2 linked regions of the Anolis sagrei genome follow. The protein of the gene in region 2 interacts with the protein of the main gene of each other region in a pairwise test. Links are inferred from orthologs where the notes say so. Each region holds a gene or a part of one and is shown on either strand. Other genes may lie near its edges.

The links.
Region 1: the proteins of GOLGA1 (region 2) and PDCL2 interact in a two-hybrid assay, tested with the Homo sapiens proteins (2 studies listed by BioGRID). The two-hybrid records come from large-scale screens. The link is inferred for Anolis sagrei from reciprocal best matches to the Homo sapiens genes GOLGA1 and PDCL2.

The regions. Positions count from the first base shown.
Region 1 is NC_090025.1:73,589,301-73,596,591, forward strand, and holds the start of PDCL2 (phosducin-like protein 2), read left to right. Parts: upstream 1-4,165; coding exon 4,166-4,196; intron 4,197-6,113; coding exon 6,114-6,204; intron 6,205-7,291. UniProt on the Homo sapiens protein: Essential for male fertility, spermiogenesis and acrosome formation.
Region 2 is NC_090031.1:6,349,789-6,357,946, forward strand, and holds the start of GOLGA1 (golgin subfamily A member 1), read left to right. Parts: upstream 1-5,022; 5' UTR 5,023-5,101; intron 5,102-8,158. UniProt on the Homo sapiens protein: Involved in vesicular trafficking at the Golgi apparatus level. Involved in endosome-to-Golgi trafficking. Mechanistically, captures transport vesicles arriving from endosomes via the protein TBC1D23.

The sequences.
Region 1 (7,291 bases), on a different chromosome or scaffold from region 2:
GACGATAGCTCCCTGTCTGTTTTCTAACAGGAAGAGAAGGACAGGTGGAGAGATTTTCAGCCTTTTCTGGCAAAGGGGTTCCTAAGGCAAGCAGAAATATGTGTTTTCTGATGGTCTTTGGTGACCCCTTTGAAGCCCCTCATGACCCCCCCCCCCACCCTGGTTGAGAAGCACTGTCCAAAGGCTATCTCTCTTCTTACTTTCCTAAGATTATTATGGAGACTAAAGTCCAATACCTGAAAGAAGGTGGAGTTTCACAAGGCAGCTGGAATTCTGTAGTTGTTCTATGGGCTCCTCCCATGTCTTCTTCAGAACTGGCAGCATTCTGAAACAGTTTGTTGGCCTTTCTACGTACTGGGCTGAACAGCTGTATGTAGGTTTGGGTCTCATCTTTCAGACGACTGGAGGGCTGGGTAATGTGGAAGTCATTTTGCCACCCACGAGGAAGCTAACATGCAGGTCAGAAAAGTGGGATATATCTGAAATGGAATACATTTAGGATGCATTTATTTATTTATTTCAAATATTTGTATCCCGCCCTTCTCAAGCCCTGGAGGGGGACTCCTGGCGGCTTACAATTCGATGCCCCCCATATACAAACAAAAGAAACAGCAGTTACATAATAAGGAAAACATTAAATTAAATTAAACTTAAATCCATTTAAAATAGTACTAAATTGGTTGGCCATATCTAAAACTGAATTCTACAACCAACGACTTAGTCCGAAGCTTGTCCATAGTCCATTTTCGTAGCATTGTCATAATTTTTATTATCAGCCTGCTACCCAAATACTTGGTCTCACAACCATTTTTTCAACTATTTCCTAAAGGAAAAAAGAGGGAAGCAGTTGACCTAATTTTGCTGGGGAGTAAGTTCTACAGGCGGAGGGCCACCACCGAGAAGGCCCTGTCTCTCGTCCCTGCCAAGCGTGATTGTGACGGTGGCAGGATCGAGAGCAGGGCCTTCCCTGAAGATCTTAAGCTTCGAGGTGGAACGTAGAGAGAGATAAGTTCAGACAAGTAAGCTGAGCTGGAACTGTATATTTGAATTTTTAGGCAGCAACATTCATTCCTTCATTAAGTTCAGTCATGAATGCAGCTCAAGCTGCCACTTCAGTAGGAACTGCTATTTCTGTCTGCTTTTTTGCCTTGATCAAGAAGTACTTTGCCATCCATGTAGCCCCTTATGCAAGATAACAAAAGTAATATGATTATTTTAGTTGCCTGTTATTTGTTTAATAATTTACTACCTCTAAAAGATGAATTATGTGGAATGGGCATATTGAGTAGCTGTTCCAGAAATAAAGTGCCTGTGCAAACAACACAGGCAAGGAAGAAGCTAAACAGATAATTCCCACCACCCTCCAACTCTCCTTCCACCACATGCTGTTGGCAGGACCCAACTAGTAGCATCAGGGTTGTGAAGAAGAAATTGACTGAACATGGTAGTGCTCGGTAGAGAGTAGATGGCTGAAGGTATGATAGAAGGAATATAGAGATAGAAGCAAAATGCTAATCATGGTCTACTTGTTGATTCGTCATGTAATCTACACCAACCATTGAGTAGATAAAATGCTTCAAGATCAAGCAAAAAATTGTTAAAAGTTCTGAAAACTGAGCTGACCAAGAAAGCAAGATACATGAAAATATTTAGGACATGTTATCCACACTGAGGTGTTAGAAGCTTTATTCAGCACACAGTGAAGAACTTGTCCATCATTTTGCAGATAAGCTCGCTCGGATTTGATTTGACTCTGGCCCCATCCACACTGCCATATAAAATCCAGATTATCTGCTTTGAACTGGATTATATGGCAGCATTGACTCATCCAGTTTAAAGCAGATAATGTGGATTATCTGCTTTGATCACCTGGATTATATGGCAGTGTAAGAGGGCCCTTACAAACCACATTTGATACAACATTGTAACCTTGTGCACCTGCTTTTTTAGTGTTGAGGGATACTTTTCAGTGTGTGTAGTCTGAGCATGTGGACAGAATCCTTGGAAAGATGAGAGCCATCACGTGTGTTAGACCCTTGTTCCTTCTGGCTCATTAAGCAGATGAGAGGGGAACTGGGGGAGAGGGTCACGGAAATGATTAATGCTTTGTTGCATCACGGCAGGGTCTCAGGATCCTTCCATACAGCCCTATATCCCAGAATATCAAGGCAGAAAATCCCACAATATCTGAATGTGGACTCAGATAACCCAGTTTGAAGTAGATACTGTGGGATTTTCTGCCTTGATATTCTGGGATAGAGGGCTGTATGGGAGGGCCCCCAGCATGCTTCCAGGATGCTGTAGTAAGATGTCTTCTAAAGAAAACTTTCCTGGACCCTTCTGTACTTAATAGCTATTATCTTCTATTTTTCGGAAGATACTAAAGCATGTGGTGGCGATTCACCTCCAAGGGTTCCTGGATGAGGATTATTATCTACACCCATTTCAGTCTGTTTTGATGCCTGATTATGGAACAGAGAAGGGTTTGTTGCCTTGGTAGATAACTTATGCAGGGACCTGGGCAGGAGATGTGTTACCTGCTGGTTCTAACTTTCAATGCCATTTTGCCATGACAACTTTCTGAGTTGCCTTCACCTACAATCAAAGAGCATTCTGAACTCTTACCAATGATAGAATTGAACCATGTTTGGCACACAGAGCTCCCATGACCAACAGAAAGTACTGGAAAAAGGTTTGGCGAACATTGACCTTGAGTTTGGGGGTTGTAGTTCACCTACATCCAGAGAGCACTGTGGACTCAAACAATGATGGATCTGGACCAAACTTGGCACAAATACCCAATATGCCCAAATTTGAACACTGGTGGAGTTTGAGGAAAATAGACTTGACATTTGGGGGTTGTAGTTGCTGGGATTTATAGTTCACCTACAATCACAGAGCATTCTGAATCTCACCAATGATAGAATTGGGCCAAACTTCCCACACAGAAACCCCATGGCCAACAGAAAATACTATGTTTTCTGATGGTCTTTGGTAACCCCTCTGACACCCCTTGGGACCCCACCAGGGGTCCCAACCCCTAGTTTGAGAAATGCCTACTTATCTACCTACTTACACTTTTAAAGCCCCAATTCCTGCTTCATATTTGGAGGGCCATATTTTACCTCAGTGCCATTTCATTTCAGCATTCATAAGAGGCATGGCTTTTTATTTGAAGTGACAAAGACAGGTGACTTCTCTGATTTAATACATTCCCTATCTAGTTTCAAGTAAACGAATAGTCATAGAATCACAGTTGGAAAGTCCCCATGGGCCATCAGATTGAACTAGCAATCCTAATTCTGCACTAACACAAATGACTATATAGTTATTTGTAATCCAGAATTAAACTTTCAGAGTTAAGTTTTCAGAGCCCTGAGCTTACCTCAGATGGTTTGGTCTAAAGTATCAGTTTTGGTTTTCCCCACAAACATATTTTTTAAAGTGACTGATCCTATGTCTGGACAGCTGTGTTGTATGATCTCATAGAATCATAGAGTTGGAAGAGACCTCATGGGCCATCCAGTCCAACCCCCTGCCAAGAAACAGGAAAATTGCATTCAAAGCACCCTCGACAGATAGCCATCCAGTCTCTGTTTAAAAGCATCCAAAGAAAGAGCCTCCACTACACTCCAGAGCTGAGAATTCCACTGCTAAACAGCTCTCACAGTTAGGAAGTTCTCTTAATGTTCAGATGGAATCTCCAGGGTAGCAGAAAACAAGACTGCTCCCTCCTCCCTATGACTCCCCACCACATATTTATACATTGCCATCATGTCTCTTCTCAACCTTCTCTTCTGCAGGCTAAACATGTCCAACTCTTTAAGCCACTCCTCATAGGGCTTGTTCTTAAGACCCTTTAACATTTTAGTAGCTGTTCTCTGGACACATTCCAGCTTGTCAACATCTCCCTTCAACTGTACTGCCCAGATTGACCACAGGTGTGGTCTGACCAAGGCAGAATAGGGGGCTAGCATGACTTTCTTGGATCTAGACACTTCCTGCAGGATGTGCTGGTTTGGATCCAAGGCGGCATACTGTATGCTAGTGATACAATGAACTTCTGTTTTTAAAGGATCCAAATGAAGATACGGAATGGAATGATGTTTTGAGAGATTTTGGGATTCTGCCCCCCAAAGAAGAAGTTAAAGATGAAATTGAAGAAATGGTTTTACGTTTACAAAAAGAAGCTGAAGGTAAGGAGTTGCTAACATATTGCTGTCAGTGTGCAAGCAATTGTTGGAATTAAGATCACTGCATTTTAGCTGTCTACAATCTAAGCATTGTAATACAATCCTATCCTGCTCATATGGCTTCCAAAGAATAAAAAGGCTAGAAAATGGCTGTTGTATAGTTTTCTTGGGCAATGTAGTACTTCACAATTCAGATGGGGAAAGGCACAACCTTGTATTCATCTTAAAATAAACAAAAGGCAATTGGATTCTAAGATAGCTTTGCCTTCCTCTGATTTCTACAAGTCAGGAATTTTTAGCACAAGGAAAACACCCAAACAGTATATTTTAAAACAGGCCAATCAGAGAAAAACGAGAACTCATACTTCCTAAATTCTGAATTAGCAGATCAGCCCTAATACTGACACAATTAGAACACATCTGGAAATAACATCTGGCAAAAGGTTATTGCACTTAATGGCCATTAATTGGAATTTTGTAAACATGGGGTTTCTGTTTAGGATTCAGCATCATGCACATCTTTGGGAAAATTGATTTTTAATTCCATTTAAGTGTTTGTTTTTGCTTGCATCATGTATATCTTGGCTTTCAGCAAGAGCCCTCAAGATGGCTTGGGAATAAATCCATACAAAAACACAGTGAATATCTAATATTACTTTCTGTGTTTCTTCTAAATAAGGATATAAGAAAAACTATGCTGGATCCTAACCAAGGCCAGTGTCAGGATCCAGCATGTGTTCCCATGATGGAAAATCAGTTGCCCTAAGCAAAGCCAATGAAATAGGATATAAACACAACTTCTCCAGAAACAAATCATAGAATCATAGACCTCGAGGGCCGTCCAATCCAAACCCCTGCCAAGAAGCAGGAAAATCACATTTCAAGCACCCCCGACAGATGGCCATCCAGCCTCTGTTTAAAAGCCTCCAAGGAAGGAGCCTCCACCACACTCTGGGGCAGAGAGTTCCACTGCTGAACAGCTTTCACAGTCAAAAAGTTCTTCCTAATGTTGAGATGGAATCTCCTTTCTTGTAGTTTGAAGCCATTGTTCCGTGTCCTAATCTCCAGGGCAGCAGAAAACAAGCTTGCTCCCTCCTTCCTATGACTTCCTCTCACGTATTTATACATGGCTATCACATCTCCTCTCAGCCTTCTCTTCTTCAGGCTAAACATGCTCAGCTCTTTAAGCCACTCCTCATAGGGCTTATTCTCCAGACCCTTGATCATTTTAGTCACCCTCCTCTGGACACATTCCAGCTTGTCAACATCTCCCTTCAATTGTGCTGCCCAGAATTGGCCATAGTATTCCAGGTGTGGTCTAACCAAGGCAGAATAGAGGAGCAGCATGACTTCCCTGGATCTAGACACTATACTCCTACTGATGCAGGCCAAAATCCCATTGGCTTTTTTGCCACCACATCACATTGTTGGCTCATGTTTAACTTGTTGTCCACAAGGACTCCAAGATCTTTTTCACACGTACTGCTCTCGAGACATGCGTCCCCCATTCTGTATCTTTGCATTTCATTTTTTCTACAGGAGCACACTTCCTCTTATACATGAAGTGATATATAGTCAGTATGACTAGTAGCAAGTTATGGCCTTAACCTCCATTTCATTATAGAAATTCTTCTCAAAAGTAACTTTCCAGGTTCTGCCCAGAAATATACAGAAGTGGCATTTTATTTTTGCCCTTTGTTATACATTTTTGTATATTTTTATAACAGCGCTCCATGCAGTCATGCTGGCCACATGATCTTGGAGGTGTCTACGGACAACGTTGGCACTTCGGCTTAGAAATGGAGATGAGCACCACATCCCAGAGTCAGACACGACTGGACTTAATGTCAGGGGAAAACCTTTACCTTTACCTATACATTTTTGTAGCTTCTAAGGTTGTTTTGGGTTTTTTTTGCTCAGTGAAACCATATGAAAAAATGAATCTGAAACAACTCAAAGAAGCTGAAGATGAATTTAATGAAGAAGATATGAAAGCTGTTGAAATGTACAGGTATGCTCAAGTTTATGGTGAGCACATTTAAAGACAAAATAACACGAGAAGAGCAAAGATCTCAAAATGGATATGAAATTAGAATAAATAGATGGTCGTTATTCATATTTTATTCCTTTGCTACTAAGCAAAGCATTTAACAGGTTTGAGTAAACGAGGAAAAGTAGTTCTAATACTTATATGTACTCCATAGGCAAGTAAGTGGTGCCATCTAGTGTTTTCAATTGTGTACATTTGTGCGTGAGTTTTATGCATTCGAAACTGTTGTTATCATAGAAACACCTAATTTAGTACAGGTTCTGTGTTAAAGGAACTTGTATTAAGGGTTTTTACAGAAAATCTCTTGTACATCTATCAAGAAATAAGTCCCAGGGAATTCAACAAATATATGTGTGAAGGATAGCAATTTAAGTTATTCAGTTGCTTAAATCTGCTGACATTACAATATTTCTGAAGAAAAATAATAGGCTAGTAAAGCAGGTCGGTGCTTATTTGAGGTTCTCCTGAGATTGACTAAACTTTCATCTTTCACCACTCAGGAAGGGGGGTACAATCTATGTATCTATGCACGTAATAAGTGAAAATATGCATGTGTGTGTCTGTGTGGTTGGGGATTCCACTTACACAGACGTGCTCCTGCCTCCACAAACAGCTATAGCCCCCACTACTCAGGAGACACCAATAGCCCTCCCTCCAATGACATTGCAGGTTATAGTGAGCACCATGAACATATACAAGAACCCTGCCAGTGTCCTCCACAAACACAATACTGCCCACCACCTAAGTGAAGGCTTTCATATGGGGACAATTCCAGCCTAGAGTTTATGTGTTTCCTCCACCACAGACTTCTCAGTGTTTCTTACTCTCCCCGTTGGTGTGGAATTTGCATGACCCCACCAATTGCCTCTCCTTTAACCCTTTCCTATTATCTTCTATGACACACAACAAACTGATGAACTGATCAGCAATGGAACACATTAGAGAGGTTTGGGGAGAATTCACCATGATTTATAGGAGTTGTAGGTCCTGGGATGTATAGTTCACCTAAAATCTAAGAGCACTTTGAACTCCACCAATGATGAACTTG
Region 2 (8,158 bases):
CCAAAGTGTCTCCATCTTAAGCCTCGTCCTCATTGATCACTTCAGCTTCACTATCCAAACTAGGCCCATCAACATTGGCATCAACATTAGCATCAACATTGGCATCACCATTAGACAATACAAAGATTCAGGCTCAGGTTCACACACAGGCTGAGTCCCAACATGACTGAATGGAGCACCATTACCTTCCCGCCAGAGAGGTACCTATTGAGCTCACATTTGCATGTTTTTGAACTGCTAGGTTGGCAGAAACGGGCTAACAGCGGGAGCTCACGGTGCTTATCGCCATTTCTAAGCCAAAGAGCCGGCATTGACCGGAGACACCTCCAAGGTCATGTGGACGGCATGACTGCATGGATCACCATTACCTTCCCCCAGAGCGATACTTATTGAGCTCACATTTGCATGTTTTCAAACTGCTAGGTTGGCAGAAGCTGGGGCTAACAGTGGGAGCTCATGTCGCTCCCCAGACTCGAATCTATGACCTTTTGCTTACCAAGTTCAGCAGCTCAGAGGTTTAACACACTGCTCAACCACAGGCTCCTAACTATCCCTATTTACATGAAAAGTTTGGGAAGAAATCTGTGCAAACCATTGGGCTGGGTTGCTGTGAGTTTTCCGGGCTGTATAGCCATGTTCCAGAAGCATTCTCTCCTGACATTTCACCCACATCTATGGCAAGCATCCTCAGAGGTTGTGAGGTCTGTTGGAAACTAGGCAAGTGGGGTTTATATATCTGAGGAATGATGTCCAGGATGAGAGAAAGACCTCTTGTCTGTCTGAGGCAAGCATTAATGTTGCAATTGGCCACCTTGAGTAGCATTGAACGGCCTTGCAGCATCAAAGCCTGGCTGCTTCCTGCCTGGGGGAATCCTTTATTGGCATTCCCCCTGGCTGGAAGCAGCCAGTCTTACACCCATATCTATGGCAGGCACCCTCAGAGGTTGTGAGGTTTGTCAGGATCTAGGCAAGTGGGGTTTACTTTTCCAAAGCATACTAACCTTGGGTTGCTGTGAGTTTTCTGGGCTGTCTGGCCATGCTCCAGAAGCATTCTCTCCTGACATTTCACCCACATCTATGGCAGGCACCCTCAGAGATTGTGAGGTTTGTTGGCATCTAGGCAAGTGGGGTTTACTTTTCCAAAGCATACTAACATTGGGTTCCTGTGAGTTTTCCAGGCTGTGTGGCCATGCTCCAGAAGCATTCTCTCCTGACATTTCACCCACATCTATGGCAGGCACCCTCAGAGGCTGTGAGGTTTGTTGGGGACTAGACAAATTGGGTTTATATATCTGTGGAATAATGTCCAGGGTGAGAGAAAGAACTCTTGTCTGCTTGAGACAAGTGTGTATGTTGCAATTGATCACCTTGATTAGCATTGAATAGCCTTGCAGCTTCAAAGCTTGGCTGCTTCCTGCACCCTGGGCATTCCACAGATGTATAAACCCCACTTGCCTAGTCTCCAACAGATCTCATAACCTCTGAGGATGCCTGCCATAGATGTGGGCGAAACGTCAGGAGAAAATGCTTCTGGAACATAGCCAAACAGCCTGGAAAACTCACAGCAACCCAGTGATTCTGGCCATGAAAGCCCTCTGCTGGTTGCATCTAAGCATTACATACATACCAATAAGACAGTAAGTCTTTCTATGTGCACACTGCCCTCTTGTGGTTGCATTGAAGCCTTTCATACATTCATAGCAATAAGCCAGTAACAACTTTCCTATCTGCATGCTGCCCTCTTGTGGTTACATCTGAGCATGACATACATAATCAGCCAGTAACTAAGCCTTCTTAACTGTATACTGCCCTCTTCTGGTTGCATATAAGCATTGCATACATCCATACCAATAAGCCAGTAAGTAATCCTATCTATATACTGCCCTCTTGTGGTTGCATATAAGCATTGCATACATACATCCATACATACCAATAAGCCAGTAACTAATCCTAGCTATATACTGCCCTCTTGTGGTTGGATCTGAGCATTGCACAGACACAATAAGCCAGTAACTAAGCCTGCCTATCTATAGACTGCCCTCTGGTGGTTGCATCTGAACATTGCATATGACCTTGAATAGCAAGTGGGCGCAATGCCTGATGTGTCCACCGGAGGGCGGCAAAGGACAACACATAGGAGTCCAGGGCAGAGAGATGCCCCATAGGTTTCAATGGAGGGGCAGAGTAACAAGGGGGCGCAATGCCTGATGTGTCCACAGGAGGGCGGCAAAGGACAACACATAGGAGTCCTGGGCAGAGAGATGCCCCATAGGCTTCAATGGAGGGGCAGAATAACATGGGGGCGCAATGCCCAATGTGTCCACAGGAGGGCAGCAAAGGATAACACATAGGAGTCCTGGGCAGAGAGATGCCCCATAGGCTTCAATGGAGGGGCAGAATAACAAGGGGGCGCAATGCCTGATGTGTCCACAGGAGGGCAGCAAAGGACAACACATAGGAGTCCTGGGCAGAGAGATGCCCCATAGGCTTCAATGGAGGGGCAGAATAACAAGGGGGCGCAATGCCTGATGTGTCCACAGGAGGGCAGCAAAGGACAACACATAGGAGTCCTGGGCAGAGAGATGCCCCATAGGCTTCAATGGAGGGGCAGAATAACAAGAGGGCGCAATGCCTGATGTGTCCACAGGAGGGCGGCAAAGGACAACACATAGGAGTCCTGGGCAGAGAGATGCCCCATAGGCTTCAATGGAGGGGCAGAATAACAAGGGGGCGCAATGCCTGATGTGTCCACAGGAGGGCAGCAAAGGACAACACATAGGAGTCCTGGGCAGAGAGATGCCCCATAGGCTTCAATGGAGGGGCAGAATAACAAGAGGGCGCAATGCCTGATGTGTCCACTTGAGGGCGGCAAAGGACAACACATAGGAGTCCTGGGCAGAGAGATGCCCCATAGGCTTCAATGGAGGGGCAGAATAACAAGGGGGCGCAATGCCTGATGTGTCCACAGGAGGGCAGCAAAGGACAACACATAGGAGTCCTGGGCAGAGAGATGCCCCATAGGCTTCAATGGAGGGGCAGAGTAACAAGAGGGCGCAATGCCTGATGTGTTCACAGGAGGGCAGCAAAGGACAACACATAGGAGTCCTGGGCAGAGAGATGCCCCATAGGCTTCAATGGAGGGGCAGAGTAACAAGAGGGCGCAATGCCTGATGTGTTCACAGGAGGGCAGCAAAGGACAACACATAGGAGTCCTGGGCAGAGAGATGCCCCATAGGCTTCAATGGAGGGGCAGAATAACAAGGGGGCGCAATGCCTGATGTGTCCACTGGAGGGCAGCAAAGGACAACACATAGGAGTCCTGGGCAGAGAGATGCCCCATAGGCTTCAATGGAGGGGCAGAATAACAAGAGGGCGCAATGCCTGATGTGTCCACTGGAGGGCAGCAAAGGATAACACATAGGAGTCCTGGGCAGAGAGATGCCCCATAGGCTTCAATGGAGGGGCAGAATAACAAGGGGGCGCAATGCCTGATGTGTCCACTGGAGGGCGGCAAAGGACAACACATAGGAGTCCTGGGCAGAGAGATGGCCCATAGGCTTCAATGGAGGGACAGAATAACAAGGGGGCGCAATGCCCGACTCGTCCATCAGAGGGCGGCAAAGGATAACACTTTGGTGGAATGGATCCAATATCAATTGCTGTGGCCTTTAGAACACTAAGGAAATCCAAATATGAAACAATCTGGTCTAGGGAACACCTCTCCACAAAGCTTTCCCACAGGCAGGAAGAAGCCAGACTTTTAAGCTGCAAGGCTTTTGAAAGGAATAATGATAATTTACATGCAATATAATAAATATATATAATTAATAATAAATTACATGAAATATAATAAATATATATAATTAATAATAAATTACATGGAATATAGTAAATATATATAATTAATAATAAATTACATGGAATATAATAAATATATATAATTAATAATAAATTACATGGAATATAGTAAATATATATAATTAATAATAAATTACATGGAATATAGTAAATATATATAATTAATAATAAATTACATGGAATATAATAAAAATATATAATTAATAACAAAGTACATGGAATATAATAAATATATATAATTAATAATAAATTACATGAAATATAATAAATATATATAATTAATAAATTACATGGAATATAGTAAATATATGTAATTAATAATAAATTACATGGAATATAATAAATATATATAATTAATAATAAATTACATGAAATATAATAAATAAATATAATTAATAATAAATTACATGGAATATAGTAAATATATATAATTAATAATAAATTACATGGAATATAGTATATATATATAATTAATAATAAATTACATGAAATATAATAAATATATATAATTAATATAAATTACATGAAATATATTAAATATATATAATTAATAATAAATTACATGGAATATAATAAAAATATATAATTAATAACAAAGTACATGGAATATAATAAATATATATAATTAATAATAAAGCACATGGTATATAAAATATATATAATTAACAATAAATTACATGGAATATAATAAATATATAATTAATAATAAAGTACATGGAATATAATAAATATATATAATTAATAATAAATTACATGCAATATAATTTTGTTGTTATTATATTGTTATTGTTATTATATTATGCAATATTATGCAATATAATAAATATATATAATTATATAATTATGATATCATATTACTAGCAGTAGGAAGAATGGAAAGGAGGGAAGGAAGGAAATGGTAGTGGAGCCATTATTTATGGAATTTTATGCAAATACTAGGATTGAGCTCTGGATTGTTGTGTGCAGAGGGCTCCTGTCCCTTTAAATCAAGGGTTCTGAAAGCGCAATCTTAAAGAGAGGGCGCCTGTCTCTTTAAGGAGCACCATACGGGAGCGCCCCGCCCCTTCACGCCTCAGCCAGGCAAAAGGGGGCGTGTCCCGCACTGCGCCACGCCCTCCTCATTTGCATCGCCGTTGCCTGTCTTTCCCTCCCGCGCATGCGCAACGGTTAGCGCCTGCCCTGTCACTTCCGCCAGCCGGTGGGCGCTTCCGATTGGAGCGAGACTGCAGTTGAGGACCAGCTGGTGAGTGGAATCTCGGAGGGCAATTGAAACAGAGAGAGAGATTCCTCTGGTTTGGAAGGGAAAGGGAGGGTATTCTGGGATGGGAGGCTGTAACACTGCTGGTAGTCACTATGGCGACGGCTTGGAGGCCAAGGGAAGGCAAGTGGAGCAGGCCTGGCCCAACTTAGGCCTTCATTCCAACTTGGGACTACAACTCCCACAATTCCTCACAGCCTCAGGCCCTTTGCTTTCCCCCCTCAGGCCTGGGCCAACTTGGGCCTTCCCTCCAGGTGTTTTGGACTCCAACTCCCACAATTCCTCACAGCCTCAGGCCCTAAGTTGTAGTCCCTAAAGGCCTGAGGCTGTGAGGAATTGTGGGAGTTGGAGTCCAAAACACCTGGAGGGAAGGCCCAAGTTGGCCCAGCCCTGAAGTAGATGTGCCAGAACAAGGCCTTGATCAGGAAGGCTAGCTACTGTCAACCAAAACCCACTTTACAAGTTCCTCTGCTTATTTCTCTTGTTTCAAGATTCTTATAATCCTTTCTTTTTTTAAATGAAGAGGTTAAACAATTGTATAATCCGTCTGGACTACTGCAACGCTCTCAATGTGGGGCTGCCTTTGAAGATATAATAATAATAATAATAATAATAATAATAATAATAATAATAATATACATCACGCAGTGCTAGAATCATAGAATCAAAGAGTTGGAAGAGACCTCATGGGCCATCCAGTCCAACCCCATTCTGCCAAGAAGCAGGAATATTGCATTCAAATCACCCCTGACAGATGGCCATCCAACCTCTGTTTAAAAGCTTTCAAAGAAGGAGCCTCCACCACACTCCGGGGCAGAGAGTTCCACTGCTGAACGGCTCTCACAGTCAGGAAGTTCTTCCTCATGTTCAGTTGGAATCTCCTCTCTTGAGTTTGAAGCCATTGTTCCTCATCCTAGTCTCCAAGGAAGCAGAAAACAAGCTTGCTCCCTCCTCCCGGTGGCTTCCTCTCACATATTTATACATGGCTATCATATCTCCTCTCAGCCTTCTCTTCTTCAGGCTAAACATGCCCAACTCCTTAAGCCGCTCCTCATAGGGCTTGTTCTCCAGACCCTTGATCATTTTAGTCGCCCTCCTCTGGACACATTCCAGCTTGTCGATATCTCTCTTGAATTGTGGTGCCCAGAAATGGACACAATATTCCAGGTGTGGTCTAACCAAAGCGGAATAGGGGGGTAGCATTACTTCCCTAGATCTAGACACTATACTCCTATTGATGCAGGCCAAAATCCCATTGGCTTTTTTTGCCGCCACACCACATTGTTGGCTCATGTTTAACTTGTTGTCCACGAGGACTCCAAGATCTTTTCCACACGTACTGCTCTCGAGCCAGGCATCCCCCATTCTATATCTTTGCATTTCGTTTTCCTTCCAAAGTGGAGTATCTTGCATTGGGAAGTGTTCGACTTGTGGTCTTTTTGGTATGAAATCCAGCATATAGATCTCGTTTGCTGTGACATTCTGTGCTTTTGTGTCAGTAAAATAATATTATAATATTTATTTATTTGTCGTGTCAGGGCAACCAGTCAATTATATTACATTTCTAACAGAACAAAGCAAACAAACAGACATAATACATCATTTGTGAGTTTGGTAGTTGATTATCATAATATTATTATATTATAATAATAATAAATAATGATCACAAGCCGGAAAATTTTACAGAAAATGAACACACCAAACTACTCTGGGACTTCCAAATTCAGACAGACGATTATATTATTATTATTATTATTATTATTATTATTATTATTATTATCACAAGCTGGAAAAATGTACAGGAAATGAACACGTCAAACTCCTCTGGGACTTCCGAATTCAGACAGTGTTGTGGCGCACAATACTCCTGACCTCACGATCATGTTAAAAAACAAAGTATGGATCATCGATGTTGCAATCCCGGGTGACAGCAGGATTGAAGAGAAATAACTGGAAAAGCTGACACAATATGAGGATTTAAAGATCGAACTGCAAAGACTCTGGCACAAGCCAGTCAAGGGGGTCCCAGTGGTGATCGGCACACTGGGTGCAGTGCCTCAAGACCTTGGCCTGCACTTAAACACAATCAGCACTGACAAGATTACTATCTGCCAGCTGCAGAATGCAACCTTACTGTGATCTGCACGCATTATTCACCAATACATCACCCAGTCCTGACTCTTGGGAAGGGTCCGATGTGTAATCCAATACAACAGACAGCAGATAATCTTGTCTGCTGTGGACTCATCTTGTTGTGTTTCTAATAATAATAATAATAATAATAACTACTACTACTACTTTATTTTTATACCCCACCTCCAAATTTGGACACTACACCCCTAACAGATCAACAAGTGACTGTCACTCATAAAAACACTGAAAAACACTGCGGAAGAGACTTAAAAAGCCAAAAAATAAAAAATCCATAACACACAAAACCACATATACACACATATATATGCGCACACACAAAACACATATACACAGACTGAGTCACAGCGACGCATGGCAGGGCATGGCTAGTTGAATGATATTTCTATCCCGCTTTTCTCAAACCCAGATGTGACTTAAGACCACTTTACAATATAAAACCAAAACAGTGTTGGTCCACAAGCACAAAGATATACACTATTAATAGTAAATAAACAGTGTAGACTTATATTGAGTGAAATACACATAGTACAAAATATACAATCCCAATGCTAATGCTCTGTATAACAAAGTAGTTCCTAACTCGTGCTTCGGCTCGTGCGCCAGCTGCGCCCGTATCTTGGGAAGTCTGACTTGGCCACGGTGGTACACGCTTTGGTCACATCCCGCCTCGACTACTGCAACGCTCTCTACGTGGGGCTGCCCTTGAAGACGGCCCGGAAGCTCCAGCTAGTCCAGCGTGCGGCAGCCATGTTGTTAACCGGAGCGGGACGCAGGGAGCACACAACGCCCTTGCTGTCCCAGCTCCACTGGCTGCCGATTTGCTACCGGGCCCAATTTAAGGTGCTGGTGTTATCCTACAAAGCCCTAAACGGTTCCGGCCCAAAATAC